Arabidopsis thaliana: one gene and its partners. The protein of the gene in region 1 binds, or shares a complex with, the protein of each later gene. Each region holds a gene or a part of one and is shown on either strand. Other genes may lie near its edges.

What was found.
Region 2: AT1G31500 (region 1) and AT3G58580 share a complex: the UniProt entries of both Arabidopsis thaliana proteins name them as parts of the CCR4-NOT complex.
Region 3: AT1G31500 (region 1) and AT5G11350 share a complex: the UniProt entries of both Arabidopsis thaliana proteins name them as parts of the CCR4-NOT complex.

What each region holds. Positions count from the first base shown.
Region 1 is NC_003070.9:11,274,475-11,279,545, reverse strand, and holds the start of AT1G31500 (DNAse I-like superfamily protein), read left to right. Parts: upstream 1-2,917; 5' UTR 2,918-3,011; coding exon 3,012-3,067; exon of another isoform or gene 3,068-3,071; intron 3,072-3,364; coding exon 3,365-3,629; intron 3,630-3,816; coding exon 3,817-3,866; intron 3,867-4,194; coding exon 4,195-4,264; intron 4,265-4,480; coding exon 4,481-4,605; intron 4,606-4,692; coding exon 4,693-4,805; intron 4,806-4,949; coding exon 4,950-5,071. Other genes in the region: AT1G31520 (uncharacterized protein), read left to right, coding at 108-200, 317-563; AT1G31510 (F-box associated ubiquitination effector family protein), read right to left, coding at 1,084-1,265, 1,338-1,397, 1,442-2,129. UniProt on the Arabidopsis thaliana protein: Acts as a catalytic component of the CCR4-NOT core complex, which in the nucleus seems to be a general transcription factor, and in the cytoplasm the major mRNA deadenylase involved in mRNA turnover.
Region 2 is NC_003074.8:21,661,528-21,666,598, forward strand, and holds the start of AT3G58580 (DNAse I-like superfamily protein), read right to left. Parts: upstream 2,569-5,071; 5' UTR 2,171-2,568; coding exon 2,013-2,170; intron 1,819-2,012; coding exon 1,071-1,818; intron 979-1,070; coding exon 892-978; intron 811-891; coding exon 727-810; intron 651-726; coding exon 564-650; intron 467-563; coding exon 380-466; intron 271-379; coding exon 217-270; intron 122-216; coding exon 30-121; intron 1-29. Other genes in the region: AT3G58590 (Pentatricopeptide repeat (PPR) superfamily protein), read left to right, coding at 4,735-5,071. UniProt on the Arabidopsis thaliana protein: Acts as a catalytic component of the CCR4-NOT core complex, which in the nucleus seems to be a general transcription factor, and in the cytoplasm the major mRNA deadenylase involved in mRNA turnover.
Region 3 is NC_003076.8:3,619,050-3,624,120, reverse strand, and holds the start of AT5G11350 (DNAse I-like superfamily protein), read right to left. Parts: upstream 2,603-5,071; 5' UTR 2,539-2,602; coding exon 2,437-2,538; intron 2,354-2,436; coding exon 1,912-2,353; exon of another isoform or gene 1,905-1,911; coding exon of another isoform or gene 1,844-1,904; coding exon 1,677-1,843; intron 1,529-1,676; coding exon 1,463-1,528; intron 1,329-1,462; coding exon 1,276-1,328; intron 1,203-1,275; coding exon 1,121-1,202; intron 1,044-1,120; coding exon 994-1,043; intron 840-993; coding exon 758-839; intron 545-757; coding exon 452-544; intron 366-451; coding exon 333-365; intron 247-332; coding exon 158-246; intron 16-157; coding exon 1-15. Other genes in the region: AT5G11340 (Acyl-CoA N-acyltransferases (NAT) superfamily protein), read right to left, coding at 3,053-3,270, 3,609-3,731, 4,742-4,895. UniProt on the Arabidopsis thaliana protein: Acts as a catalytic component of the CCR4-NOT core complex, which in the nucleus seems to be a general transcription factor, and in the cytoplasm the major mRNA deadenylase involved in mRNA turnover.

The DNA of each region.
Region 1 (5,071 bases):
GATACGCTAGCTGAGAGGAAGGACGAAGAAGAAATCTAGCCTCCGGTTTCATTCATGGAGCATTTCTTGAGTACACACCAACTCAAAATACATTAGACGTATCACAGTTGGCGACCATTCTTTAGAGTTGACGAAGAGATTTTGAACATCCATAATGAGCAGCTTGGGATTAATGAAGATCATCTCCATGGAGCTCAAAGGTAATATCTCTACTCATAATTGTTTCTCCTCTGTTTGTTACTTTTTGTTTTGTACGTGTTTTGCCATGTTCGATCTAGTTGTTGACTTTGGGTTGGTTCGTTATTATTTTTACTAGTATACATGTTGCATCAAACATTCGAGCAAGAAAAGTCTTCGAGTTCCCTTATCTTCAGACGTCCATGAAGCCAGAAGATGCTGGTGTGGATGCTATTCTCTCAAAGTTCAATATCATGATCTATAGCTACAAAGATGCTGCATACCCCTTTAGGATGGTACCTCCCATTGTTTACGCTCACCTCGCCATTCTCCGAGTAAACGCCGGAGACCTCACTAGCAGTGATACATGGCGTTTATATATGTAGAAGTTATAATTCAGATGGTTTCTTAAGATAAGAGAAAAGCACTTTTCATCTATGAAACAACTCTTTTTAAACAACATTCCTTCCCTTGTATTTTTTTTTGTTAAAGATTCTTCTCTTGTATTTTCCCATACTTATTCAAAATCTCTCCAAAATATTAATGTAGAGTTTACTTTTTGTCATATCCAGAAATAACTATACCAAGTAAATAAGTAGAATATATGACGAGAACGTATACAATTTATGCAATAAAGAGATTAAGCTTGGGGAATAAGGAACCACGGATGCATAAAGACCTCGAATATCAAATCATGATCTTATATTACGAGACACCGAAAGCGAGTGATCATTTGCTCATTGGCATTGAGTTCAGATCCGCCGAAGCAATAATATGAACATAGAAATAATCAAAATAAAAAACCATATTTGTATGCATAAATATTGTTTCCCACTTTTTTCGAACCAGATTCAAACTCTTATGAAGTTATCCCACTATGTTTATAGAGTTCGAAAGTAAAGACCATTATAAACATGAAAGAAGATAACCATTTAACTCGTAGCAATGGATCGGAGCACGCTTATTCTTCTTCCTCTTAATTACCTCGAAAAGCCTGGAACCGGAAGTAAGCTTGGGACATATATAGTAGCAACCAGGACCACCAATTGAAGACTCCATAGAAGAGTAACATTCAACTTTCGGGCATTCTTATGTCTCTCCCACAACGTAGATGCTAATTGACCTAGTTACAAAGTGACGAATATATAGCAGAATCTTACCATTGTTCTCAATGAAGTGACTTGGATATATTGGAAACTTGGGAAGTTGAGCTATAGAAACTGTCATTAACCTACTCCAATGCTTCTTCATCAGTATATCTTACCTGCTAAGTGCGGTTCACGTAACAAAGAAAGATGATCTCCACGGAAAATCCCTAAAGAAAGAGAATCTTTCCACTGGATCCCGATGGATGAGTGATGAAGAGACTCGAACAAGGTCTCAAATCTCTCTTTTGAGAAATCGAAACTTTGTATCGAAACGGTACCGTAGATATTATAACCTATCCAATAAGGAGTTCCTCCTATACACACACTTGACAATGGTAGTCGAAAGAACCCATGGAAGGTTTTATCAACAACAACAACCTTCCAACAATCAGATTTGAAATCGTAGATTTCAACACTTAAATTATTAGGACACCGAAACCTAACCATTTTGTAATCATTACAACCACTTGGTGACTCGTTACTAATGTATCCAAGACCATATGCATCGATGGAATGGTCAAACTCAAAGCTATAGCCACATTTGATCCATCTTGCTTCTTTCAACAACGGATTGGAAACTAAAATTTTGGTTCCCATGACCATTAGCAATAGACCATCACAATGAAACATGTTGTGCTCCAATAAATCCGAAGATGAAAGCGGTTTAAAAACCTGAAAATTTAAACTAGGTTTGTTGTTGAAATCCATACCGATACAAGAAATTGTTGAGCACAATGGAGAAACTGTGGCCGGAACGTAATTGAAGACTGTGAATATCGGTTCAAGACCATGCATGTGAGACATGTGCTTGTTGACGAATATCGGTTCTGTGATTAGTGTTTTCCATTGCTTGCATGTCCTCTACCAAATTAGTTTGTAGTATGTCCTTTACCAAATTAGTTTGTAGTATTATATTTGGGTTTGTTATTTTCAATTTAGGGTATATATTTTTATTATTAAAAACTTTTTTGATTCAATTTAATATTAGATTAATGTTTGCTCTCATTTTTATTTGGGGGATTGATACAAATAGTAATAAAAAAAACTTTATTATTTAATTAATTTATAGAGGATTAAAAATTTTATATGCTATTTTGGAAATTTCAAAAAAAAGGTGTCATTTTTTGGAATAATAAAGTTTTTTAGTGTCATTTACGTCAATCCCCTTGTTATATTAATATTGGTGTGAAGCTTTTTGGGAAATATATCTATAATTTCTCATCTTATAAAGTTTTATGCTCAAGTGAGTGTTAGTATGGAAATTTTTAATTCGCAATAGTGTATATTGGTCCGTAATGGTGAATTAGTTAAATATCGATTAATTAGATTTTAGTCTGGTACACAACCATTTATAGACTAAATATCTGACAGTAAATGATTTAGAAACTCATACTAACTTATATAGTTATATATATAGGTGCTTTGGGAATTTTTGAAAATTTTGGGTTTTGGATTTTGACGTTGATTTCGATTGGATTTTTATTTGTTGGAAAGTAAATGAACCTACTAATGACCTATTTTTGGTTCTAAAGTTCCAATAAATAAAATGAAGGCTCACTAACTACTTTAATATAAAGACAGGGAGCAAATGATAATTATCGAATTCTTCACTATTTTATTTGAAAACCCACAAGAGTTTCTTCAATCTAAAGCCAAATTGGGTTAAGTCAATTGTTGTCACTATAGATGTTTAGTTCTACAACTCTGCATCATCTTCCTCGTCCGAATCTTCTTCTTCCCAGGTGGGTTTCTTCGTTTCTGTATCAATCAATATACAGTTTCATTTTCTGTAATCTCAAGTTTCGTATTTAGTAATGCAACTAAATTGATCGTCTCTGTTCATTGTCATTGGGCAATTTCGTTGAGGAATACAATTTGTTTAGAAATTTCTCATCTTTATATTGGAACCAATCCTCTAGAATCTCGAATTTATCTGGGCTGTAATTGAAATTTTATGGGGAATTAAATCAGCTTCTTAATTTTGACCTAAATATTGATGTTCAAGGATTGTTTTTTTTCCTGACCCTTTGATTCAACAGCTCTCGTGTCTGCAGGAAAGTTATTTCGAGAAGAATGAGTACGAATCCTGCAATTGAACCAAAAGTTCGCAAATTTGAATCTGTTGAAGGAGTTGATATTGGTTCAAGAAATAAATCCGATGGTTTTTTTGCTATTCCTCTTTACTTATCAAAGCTTGTGGCTTTATATAACTGTATAAGTTTAAGTAGAATTGGTACTAGTAATGAGAATTTTGTGTTTTCAGGTATCAGATTCCGTCTTGTTTCATATAACATATTAGCTCAGGTAAGAAATAATCAAGCTTTTTAATCTCTCATATGCTTTGTGATATTTTGTAGCTTAATATTTGGACGAATTTTGTAGTTTTAAACGATCTTACGAATTTCTGAGCTTGATTTATAGATACAGACAGTTCTTTTAGCTCTTTCCTTTGTTGAGTTTCTTATCTATTTGAGCTTTATATTTCTTGTAGGTTTATGTGAAGAGTGCACTTCTCCCACACTCTCCACCTGCCTGTCTCAAGTAATTATTTTTCTCTACATTTCTCAGTTTCGAGATCAAATTTACTTATACTAGTCAAGAGTTCTTTCTGTGAGTTGTGTAATCAATGGCCTGGAGTATAGTCAAGATTTGCTTCAGAAAACAACAATGGATTCTATGAATGTTTAGGAACTTAGCTATAAGCAGGCAATATTGTGTTTGGTCTTACCCACGTTAATTATCCATTACCCAATATGTACTTTGGATTTAGCGATATATTAACTTTGTTAAAATATTAGGGAATGGTGCTTCTTAAAGGGTTATGGTTTTGTAGTAAATGTGACTTGGTCTTCCTTTTCTTGTGTTGCAGATGGAAAGCTCGTTCACATGCAATTCTCAGCGTTCTCAAAAATCTCCAGGCTGATTTCTTTTGTCTGCAGGTACTTTATTCTTGTGAAAACTTCTTCTTTTGTGTTTAGGTAGTATTGAGATACCCTTTTCGTATGAAACACAAAATTCATTCTTCTCTTTTGTTCAATCCATTAGACAAGCTCAGGCCTGTAAAAATGTTAGTGTTGTTTGTTCATAGGGCCTTTGAATTGTGTTTAACAAAAGGGTGTCTCCACTTGTTAGTTATATAGTTGCAATGCTCGCAGGAAGTAGATGAGTACGATAGCTTTTACAGAAATAACATGGACTCTCTGGGATATTCTGGGATTTATATTCAGAGAACCGGCCAGAGGAAGCGTGATGGTTGTGCAATCTTCTACAAGCCAAGCTGGTATGATAAAAACATTAAGCCTGACAAGACGTTAACTTAATGCAAAAACATCAATCTGATTGAAACAACACTCTTCTTTTGATTTAGTGCAGAGTTAGTCACAAAGGAACGGATCGAATATAATGATCTTGTGGACTCAATAAAAGCAGATAGTGTTTCCTGCAGCGAACAGAAGATTGAGACATCCAACGAAGGAAAAGGTGATGAGAAAGCGAAAGATAAATTTGTCCTTTTGGAGGAAAAGAAAGCAAATACTTTGTGCTGTTTCTTTATATCTCAACATCATTACTAACTTTTATCTATGTTCTCTTCACATGTTTCCACAAATCTGCCCCAAACAAAAGATTCTCGAAAAGACAGTCGTGACCTTAATGATCCACTAGTGAGACTAAAACGTGATTGCGTTGGAATAATGGCTGCTTTTAGGATCAACAAGCCGTTTCAGCATATCGTTATCGTGGCAAAC
Region 2 (5,071 bases), on another chromosome or scaffold:
ATGTCAAAAGAATTTATGAATCAACAAACCTCCCAGGAAGCGTATTGAAGTCTCCACACACAAGCATAGGAATATCGGCACTAGCTGCTATTTTCTCTAGTCCCTTTAATAAGGTATGAACCTAAACGCAAAAGAATAAAAGAAAACATGAGGTGAATACTAATTCTTTCGAGTTCAATGAAATTTGATTTATTTCGGATATAGAGATACACCAACCTGCCAGAGCTTCACATCCTTCAGATCTTGTTGAACATTTACATGTGTGTTTGCCTAAACAAGTTGCCACAACAAAATAAGAAAATTCATTGGCTTTCACTAAAAGAGCATATACAGAAACTAACAGTTCTCATGAGAATGGAAAAAAAAAAAGAACCAGTACCACACAAATAAGCTGGCGCTTCCCAGAAGGATCAGTAGGTTGATTACCAAATTTGGCTTCAAGAACAACTATCAACGCAATGTTATCCTACAACATAAGAATCATTGGTTTCAGTTTTGTAAACAATAACTCTCTGATAATCAGCTGTGGCCCAGAAAAATATTGTATACCATGTCAAAAATACCTTAACCAGTCGGTTTAAAGCAGTTCTCTTCTGAGCCTGAGGGATTAGAGCGTCAGTCAAAGACTGAGCAGCCTTGTTGAATTCAACCTGGATTTACAGTCCATGAATTAGTATAGAGATCTTACTGGATCTAGCAAGTAAACATATAGAACTGAATACAAACATCATATTTCTTGACATGCGAAAACCTATCCCGCCGGAAAAATGTTGCACAGCCGTCAATGGCACTTGTACTTCCGCTGAGAACCTAGCAACAAGAAATTTGTGGTTAATAGATTTTAAAACATAAATCACTGAAGGAAGGAGTGTGTGGAATCATTGACCAAACCTCATTAGTCTTCCTCTTGTAAAGAGCTTGATACCCATGCTTATCCAACTCAGGAGCAAAAATTTCATGGAAATGATCACTTTGTACCTGCCAGATAACAAAAAAAAGAACACATTAGAAGTAGATTTTTCAGAATTAAAATGCTTTAAATCATTACCAAGTCCATACGAATAACATACTTCTTGCAGGCAAACTACATCGGCTCTATATCCAACAATCTCCCTTAACAAATTCTGTCTTCGGTATGGCCATGAAAGAGCCCAAGGAGGACAGTAACTGTAGAGGTCGCTACTTGCAGAAGTATCAGACAAAATGTTATATGAAAGAACAGTGAATGATCCTGCAGACTGAATCCGAGCATCTTGATCTAAGTGACCCATCCCATCAGCTCCGTTAACAGGGATTAGCTTACGGGGGCTTGGAGAAGGAGCAGGAATAACCCGTGAAGTCAAAATGGTACTAGGATGTCCGACAATCTGTTTAGTCTCAGCATTAGCCACAACACACTCGAACTTCAAAACGTGGCTAATATCATCAGCTGTTGGAGTGTACGTTTTGCAACCCCCAACCTCAACTAAAGTCTCTCCTCCATTTTTCTGAGTAATATTAGAAGGATAAAACGGAGCTGGACCATTGTTGGCAATACTAAGATTTGACATAGACCCAGATAAGGAACCAGCGAGAGACCCAGAACCCGCACTGTTATTCCTGTTCAAGTCATCATCCTCGTTTGCGTTGTTTTCCGCAGCTGCTCGCTCGTGCAAAGTCCTGTGATGCTGCCACGCATCCGTGAAGCATTTTGGCGAACAGTGATAGCTTTTTGGAACAAGGGATCTACGCTTAGAACAGAAAACACACTGTAAAGTAGCTTGTTCCGTTGGATGCACACTGCAAATCGTTACTTTCTTATCACTCTGTACACGATACCTACAACAAATAAATCCAAAAAATGAATCTACAACAAGATCAGAACTTTACACACAAAAACCATTTGACGACCTAAATCAGAACATCTACATGAGAAATCTCTGAATTCAGATCAAAATTCAATCTTTGATAAACCCCAATTCGCCAAATGATCCAAGAAAGCAATTAGACAAAGAGCCAATCAGAAATCTAACCATCTGTATCTCAAGAAGTAGCCTTCAAGAGGAGCAGATTCAGGGACGTCATCAGTGGTGGAGTTCTTATCGGGACGACGAACAAGGACGTAAGGAGTCAATTCACAGCCCACAATGGGAATTTCAGAAGGAAGATGCACTCGGATCACGCTCAGCATTGCTTTTCAATAACACCTGGTGATTGTCGAAGAACACTATCGAAGCAGCAGCAGCAGAGATTCAGAATCGAAGCAAGACCTTGATGATGATTATTAGATGATGAATATTGTCGTTGATAACCTAATGAAGTGGAGCGTACGATAGGCTGATCCACCATTTACTTGAACCGAAAACCCGACCAATCTCTAGAAACCCTAGAAAATGTCTTCTTCAGACAAGGTTGAAGATCCGGCAGAACCAAATTAGAATCGAAGAAAAGAAAAAAAGAAAGGAAAATGATGGTATCGAGAAAGCTTATAAGAGATGTGAGATCTTGAAGGAATTTTGTATTAAGGATCGATTCTTTCGCTGTGAATATGGAAAAAATCAATGAAATCGATTTTGGTTTTTTTATGTGTTTTTTTTCCCCGAGTGGGTTTAATACTAAAACTATTATTTTGTGCTTTGAAGACATTATTATGAAATTTTATAATATTTTAATTGATCTTCCTTTTCGATGAAAATTTTGGTTTTGGCGCTCAAAGATTGAAAGTTTTTCGTTTTATTTTTGTTTATATAAAGATAAAATTTTAAAATCTAGAAAATGCGTAAAAACAAATAATCCACAACTAAACATGACTTACCAAAGACAAATCAAGATTTATGACTCGTACCATTACGAAAACAAGATTGGTGACTTAAAAGAAGTGTATTTATATCTATGATAGATTGAAGAAAGAAGGAATGGTGAAGATGAGTCAATAGGTGAGTGTTCAACGCACATTCAGTAGGAGCCAGGAGGTGTAGTTTCTTCGTTAAGATTAAGAGACAAGAAATATCAATTCGTGATATAATTATCTTGAAGACGATTTGTTGCAGATTAAGGTAGAATTAACTTCTTCTTCTTTTTTGTTTTTTTTTTAAAATGTGAGAATTACCCAAGAAGAGCAGCATAGTTTATCAATTCAATTGATCTTCTTAAGAATTGTTGAATTTGTCAAATTAATGAAAGAATCACATTTTAACATTGTCAAAATTGTCATGTTCATTTTCGCTTTTGTTTTCGTTTTAGCTAGTTCATTTGGTTTTCATAAATATAAGCGGTTCAAACCTGAAATAATTAAGGTTCGAATTATGAAAATTTTGTTGGTTTTTAATAAATTTAGGTAGACTAAATTTCATTCTTTTCAGGTTTACTCAATTTTAAAGTATAGAAATTTAAGATTTATATCTAACTTTTGTTGTATTTGATATGAAAAGTTATCGGTTTGTATTTTACCGAATTTAGATAACTATTTACAAATTATTATTTTGAACTAATTATAGAAAACAAATACAATGCGTGTCCAGTAAATCAAAGTTGAGAGATTTCTTTCTCGTTTTTAAGCATTCAACACAATTTTTTCTATTTGTTATTTCGGAGGCCTGAGTCCACATTTTATATGAAGCATAACATGGAAAATAATAATAATTATTATTTTTCGAAAGCGATCTTTTCCAAACAAAGAAGCCTCAAACACTATATACGCTACAAAATAACATCTCGACCTTGTAACAAAGAATGCATTAGATATTTTTTTTTTTAATCAAAATTGTTGAGATGAGCAAAAGCACAGAACGTATTCAACTTTTCAAAAGGGTTGTGGCAGCTGAATATTATTTGTTCTATGATGGTAACTAACAATTTGTTTATTTTTTGTTCTTTATAGTGAAATCTTTTGATTTGATTTTTCTTTTTGTTGTTGTTAGTTTTGTTGGAAGCCGTCAAAGACATACAAAAATTGAAAGTTGATCTAACGATAGAAGAGAAGAAATGCTTAGAAATGGTAAATGAGAATCTATTTAACGAGACAGTAAAGATACTAAAACCGCTCGAAGATATGGGTATGAGGTCTGAAGAAACAATCATTATAGATGATAATCAAAAGATGATTAAAGAGTATTTGGAGGACACCTTCATAGTTTGTCATAAAATATGTAAGGAGATTCAAAAGTTGGGTATTTGCCCTTTGTGAGTTAAGTACTCTTATCGTCCTTTTTCTCTAGAGATTTGGAGGGTTTTTCAATATGAATTAGATATGTAAACCAATATTATTCAAACATGAGGTATAATCTAAAAAATGTGAAAGGAAAGATGGAAGGGATGAGGAGAGCAACCTTTTTTATTAATGATAAAATTTCATTGGAAATGATAAACAAATTAAATTATGGAATAAAAATAAAATTATTCAAAAAAAAAAAGTTGAGTTGATTTTGGTTCATTTAGAAAACCATAATATTAATTCGATTTTCTTTTGTTAAATATGGGCCAATTTGAAAGATCTTATTTGTAAAATAATATGGGCCAGATTGGTCAATTGGACAGATAAAACCGTGATACTGTGGTTGAACCAGCCGGTGCGGTCTAGATCAATTATTTAGTTCCCTGGTTCTGAACTTCAAACTTTGTTCTTGATGTTTATAAAAATCCGAACTTTTAAAATTTCAGACCTTTATTAGAACTTTCTTCATGATGCACGAAACTTAGTTCTTAATTATAACTGAGATCGATCTGGGAAGTACTCTGTTTTCAGTATCCTTCTGCATGAGCCTCAGCTGTGGAGATCTCGCCAATCACAACGATCGTGTAGTTAGCTTACTCAATGTCTGCAGAAAAGCTCCTTCCTTTGCAAGGACCAAAGCTCTTCACGCTCTCTCCATCACTTTATGCTCTGTTCTTTTGCAGCCAGTTTATGTCTGCAATAACATTATCAGTCTTTATGAGAAGCTTGGCGAGGTATCACTTGCAGGCAAAGTGTTTGATCAAATGCCTGAGAGAAATAAAGTGTCTTTCAACACGATCATTAAAGGGTACAGCAAATACGGGGATGTTGATAAAGCTTGGGGTGTGTTCTCTGAGATGAGGTATTTTGGATATTTGC
Region 3 (5,071 bases), on another chromosome or scaffold:
TTGGCGGACTGATACCTGGAAAATTGAGGAGGCCTATCAACCATGCTGACAATTGCAAAAGCAGAGTAGAACCCGATATTCTAGGGTAGACATGGAGGTGTTAAGTTGCATAACCATATACTTAATGATGTCGAAGAACTTGGTGAGTTTGCTCTACCTCGTTGTATAATTTTCTGGCCTTGGTGGACGAAACTCAGCAGAAACTTGCCCCGAAACTTTGTCTCTGGCCAAACCAGACAAATCCAACTGCAGAGAGCAGCACAAGACACAATGTGAACCATATATATAATGTTGCGAATAGGTGAAGGACTTTCCTAACAATGAAGCTTTACCTTCCGGTCTGAAATAAAGTTGTACAAAGGACTCTGCAACCAGGTGGAAGAATGTTATGACCATGTCACAAAACAAGTTTTTTGGGGTATACAAACTGGTTAAGGTAAGATTGTCCTACCTTTGGTGTACAATTGAAATCCCCACAAAGAACAATAGGCGCATCATCCCAGAGTTTTGAAACAGCATGAGCTTTATCTAAGAGTGTTCTGACCTACGTAACAGAGATAAATACATAGATGATAAATGGAAACAGTTAAAGAAACCAAGTTAAGCAAGGGGCGAAGCGTTTGGTTTCAAAAGTTTTATCTCAAACACCTAACACTTATACATGTTCATAGCGTATAGACAGAGTTAAACCAGAGAGTAAAACTGTCGTTTGGCAAAAGATTTCTACAAACTAGAATATGGCATTAAAGGAAAGTACCTGACCAAGTTTAAAGTCTCCTCTTTTAGGATTAAAAAGCACGTGAATGTTACAAATGACAACTCGATGGGAACCAGCAGAGCTGTAAAAGAAATTGGTAATTCACTTCAACCCACCCACAAAGTATAGTCCATACAGAAAACCACTGAAATCTGAAGAAAATCGGCCACTTCCTAGTGAAATTATCCACCCATAAAATGATATGATAGTAACATTTACAGATACTTTTAAGTTACCTTTCAGGTGGAGGGGTCTCATTTTCTTTTGTATGTGAAGTCAACAATGTCTACACAGAGCAAATTTAATTTAGGGCAAAGAGGCAAATGTATATAAGTCACTATCAACATAAGGTATCCATATTACCTCAAGCACACATATTTGAGCAACGTTATCTCGGAGACCAAGTTGATTGAACTGGATGCTTTCCTCGTGAACCAACTTGAATCTAATATGATAACAATGAAATCCTAAACAAGATTCCAGACTGATCCACACAAGGAAGAGCAAGGGAATCAAACCTATTGGATCGCCAAAATATTGCACATCCGTCAACAGCATTACCAGTCCGCATCTACAGTTTTATAAAATAGAGTTAACCCCACATTTGAAGCCTAGTTCTTATGATGCATACCATTTAATCTTTACTCCAAGAGAGTCCGTAGAGAATACAAACTCAAGACAACTAAAAGTTTTCAACAAACCTACCTTCCAAATAGCACTATATCCCCGGTGCTTCATCTCCTCCTCTAAGTCCTGAAATTTATCAACTTCCTGACATATACAAAATAATTTTAGATTACTATACATATGGAAGATACATTCTGTATACATATGATAAAAAAATAGTAAAGCAAGAAAGTTTTGTCTCCTTAGTCCCTCATACAAGCAATTACCAAGAAGATATAGCAGAAACTATAACCTGAAGGCACATTATATCTGCAGACCATAGGCTAAGCTCGAACACTAATTTGCTCTTTCTCCATCCCCAACTCAACATATTCCTCGGTATGTGAAAGTAAAGACTTCTCCAGTGATCATTTGCAAGGTAATCCGCCAATATATTATACGATAAAACAACAAACTTTTCTGTAGACAAGAGAAAGCAAATCAAAAATTGTATACCGGAGCAAATGAGATGGTCACGCATAAATTACCGGAGCCAGGAGACGGTGGCGTTTTGGCATATTCCCATTCACGGTAATCTGAAGGTTTTGACCGTGGCCGTTGACGAAAGCTCTGCTGTGGAGGCGGCCGGGACATCTGGTTTTGATAGAACGGAGGGGGAGGGCAAGCCGCGTAGTTTTGATTAGACGGAAACTGATTAGGTTGACGGAATTGTTGCCACTGACCTCGTGACGGCGGCGGAGGTCGAAATTCGTAATTCTGATTGAACGGTGGTTGCTGCCGCTGATCAAGCGGAGGCTGATGTTGTCGATAAGGTTCACCATGCCGGAATCGGAAATTGGCGTCATGAACTGATTGAAAATGAGAATCTCCAGTAACGAACTGATCTCTTCCCGCGTCATCATTGTACGGACGATCGGAGAAACTTCTCCCACCTCGGCCTCGTCCTCGTCCTCGGGCACCTCTGTACTGCTTCGTAAGAAACAAATTATATTCCAGTAACCGAAGCAACGCAGCGGGAGTGATAGAACAAGAGAATAGCTGAGAAAATTTACCGGAGCACGAGTAGACATGGTGAAGATTGGAGCAGAGATAGTGGAGGCGTCAGCGAAGGTAACGTCGGAGAAAACTTGAGCAACAAAACGAGAACGCCGCATTGGTCAATCGAATTGAGTGAGGAAGCTCGAGGAACCGGTGCTTAATTGCAGACACCGATGAACGGAGACTCATAAGACGTGCCGTTTTTTGATTCAAGAAGAACACATCTTCCAGTCTTCACTGTGAATAAATGGCACGCAAGCCAAAACGCAAGTCATAAATTCTTCATTTTTTTCTTTACTTTATTCTACAGCTCATAACAAGAATCATTGTCTCTCTTTACTCAAATTCATAGACCAACATTTACAAACACGATGATACTTGGTAGTAAAGCTTTGAGTTGCAAAGTTAAAAACTTTTCCAAACGAAAATGTCCAAAGCCAAGAGGACATTAGAGAAATCATGCAAGTATATAACCAGGAATTTATAAATTTAGAATCAGTAAGAAAAATTAAGGTCAACAAAACAAGCAAAACTCGGAAACCGAAGGATCATCATAACATTAATAGATCTTGAACTGAATGCAACAAAGAAACTGGGGAGGAATGGCTTCCCCAAGTTTGGTATTTTTCATCATTTGTTGGCTTCAGATTGAGCAAAGGACTTGCTGACAACGTAGCAATCTCTTGGCTCAATGTTGATGTAATAGTTTTGTATGGTATCTGTGATCTCAAAGCCGAACTTCTTGTAGAACTTGATTGCGTCTTCGTTGTTTGTCTGCACATGCAAGTATATCTCACACATGTTTTGCTTGGAGCACATGTCAAGAACATGATTCAATAGATTTGAGCCTGCAAAAGACGAAAAAAACAAGATACACAAATTATAGACATCGAGTTTTTCTTTCTAAAGCAGGGAATTCGATCTTAAATCTTGATATAGGAGGAATCATAATTCCAGTTTCTCGGTAAAACAACGATATGCATAAAACCCTAAGGACTATTTCTTGGTGGTTTGAATCTCTAAATGGAGACACTTCAAATAGAGAACTACAGAATAAACATACTACAGCTGGCCTCATGTGTTAAAACGTAAGGAAAACAACAGAATTACACAACATGCTAACAGTTTTCTTCATTATTCATGTTTTGTCGGTATTCAAGTTTTGCACAGCAGATTTATGACTTACCAATGCCAATCCCACGGTAGGGTGCAAGAACACCAAGCGTCATTATATAAACTCGCATGGCCCCACTTTCTTTCTTCTCCAGCCGACAGGCGATAGCTCCAACACATATGTCATTGTAATATGCTGAGAGGAAGTCAATCCATTATTAGAACATGAAGAATTTTCCTTGATCACAAATTAGAGAAAATATATGTAACACCAAGAACATAACTACCCAAGCAACTGCAATGAAATAGTTAGTACCAAATTTAAGACGTTGTTAACAGTCTTTAGACTTTCATAATCACATCTTATTGTACATTTAAAGAACTAGTTGACGCAAAAGATGTTCCAACCAAGGGTTTCACAAAAGTGAGCTTGAAAAAATTCTGTGAATACGAAAATTAGTCTTGGACCATGTTCTCGAAAGATAATATAAGTCAATCAGCGATAGATTACAAGGTACACATGCTTAACATACAAAAAATTTTGCTTGGTTGAACAAAAGAATGCAGTATTCATATAGTCAAACAACTTAAAACAACGATCAAGATGATACTTTGTCAACATCAATGTCATCAACCACAAAGTTCAAACATGAATCGGTAATTACGAAACAACAGACAATAGAAAGCAAACAAAATCGATCCATTCAAGGCTTAGAAAGAAGGCTTCTACCAATATTACCGATAAAATCATCTTCTTCCTAGTATCAGACACTAGTACTGAACCTAAATAAAACATGGCTCAGTCAAATAAATTCACGGAACCGAACAAAAGAGAAGACACAGATAATCACACCTATTACAATGACCAGTGAACCAACTAAACAAACAACCAAAGGAAAGCAGGATTGCAAAAGGTACTTTCTTTGTAGAGTATACCAAGCCTAATCACAGAACAGTTCATCATAAACCCCCCAAAGCAAACTTTTCCTATTAAAGGAACAAACTCGACTACTAATGCTCGCTCAGGTAAAAAGACAGAAATCTGAGAGCAAAAATACCAAAATTCGATGAATTTTAGTTCTGATTCAGAGGCACATTCCCGTGAAATCGTAATAGCACATGCCCATTAAGAAATTTAAGCAGGAATTACTGGGGAAAGCAAAGAGAGACAGAAATTAAGAAAAATCAAGTAAGAAGAAGACGAACCAAGCTTGGTGAATTCGCCGGCAGCGATTGCATCGGCGTAGTACTTGTCGTTGTAACGAACCGGGAACAAAACCGTGTTGAGTATCTTAAGCTGCATCAAGTTTTTGTCTCTGACTCCATCTAGCGATACGCTGACTTCTCTCCCAGCTCCCATCGCCGTCGAACAATCTAGATATTCGACGTCGTACGGACAGAGACCAAAGAAATCAAGGGAAGAAAAAGCTCGAGATTTAGGGGAAACCCAAAAATCTATAAATAATGTTCGTGGGAGAGAGAATAGACTATTGGGCCTATAATTCATTCTGGGCCTGGACAAAATGAAATTCTAAT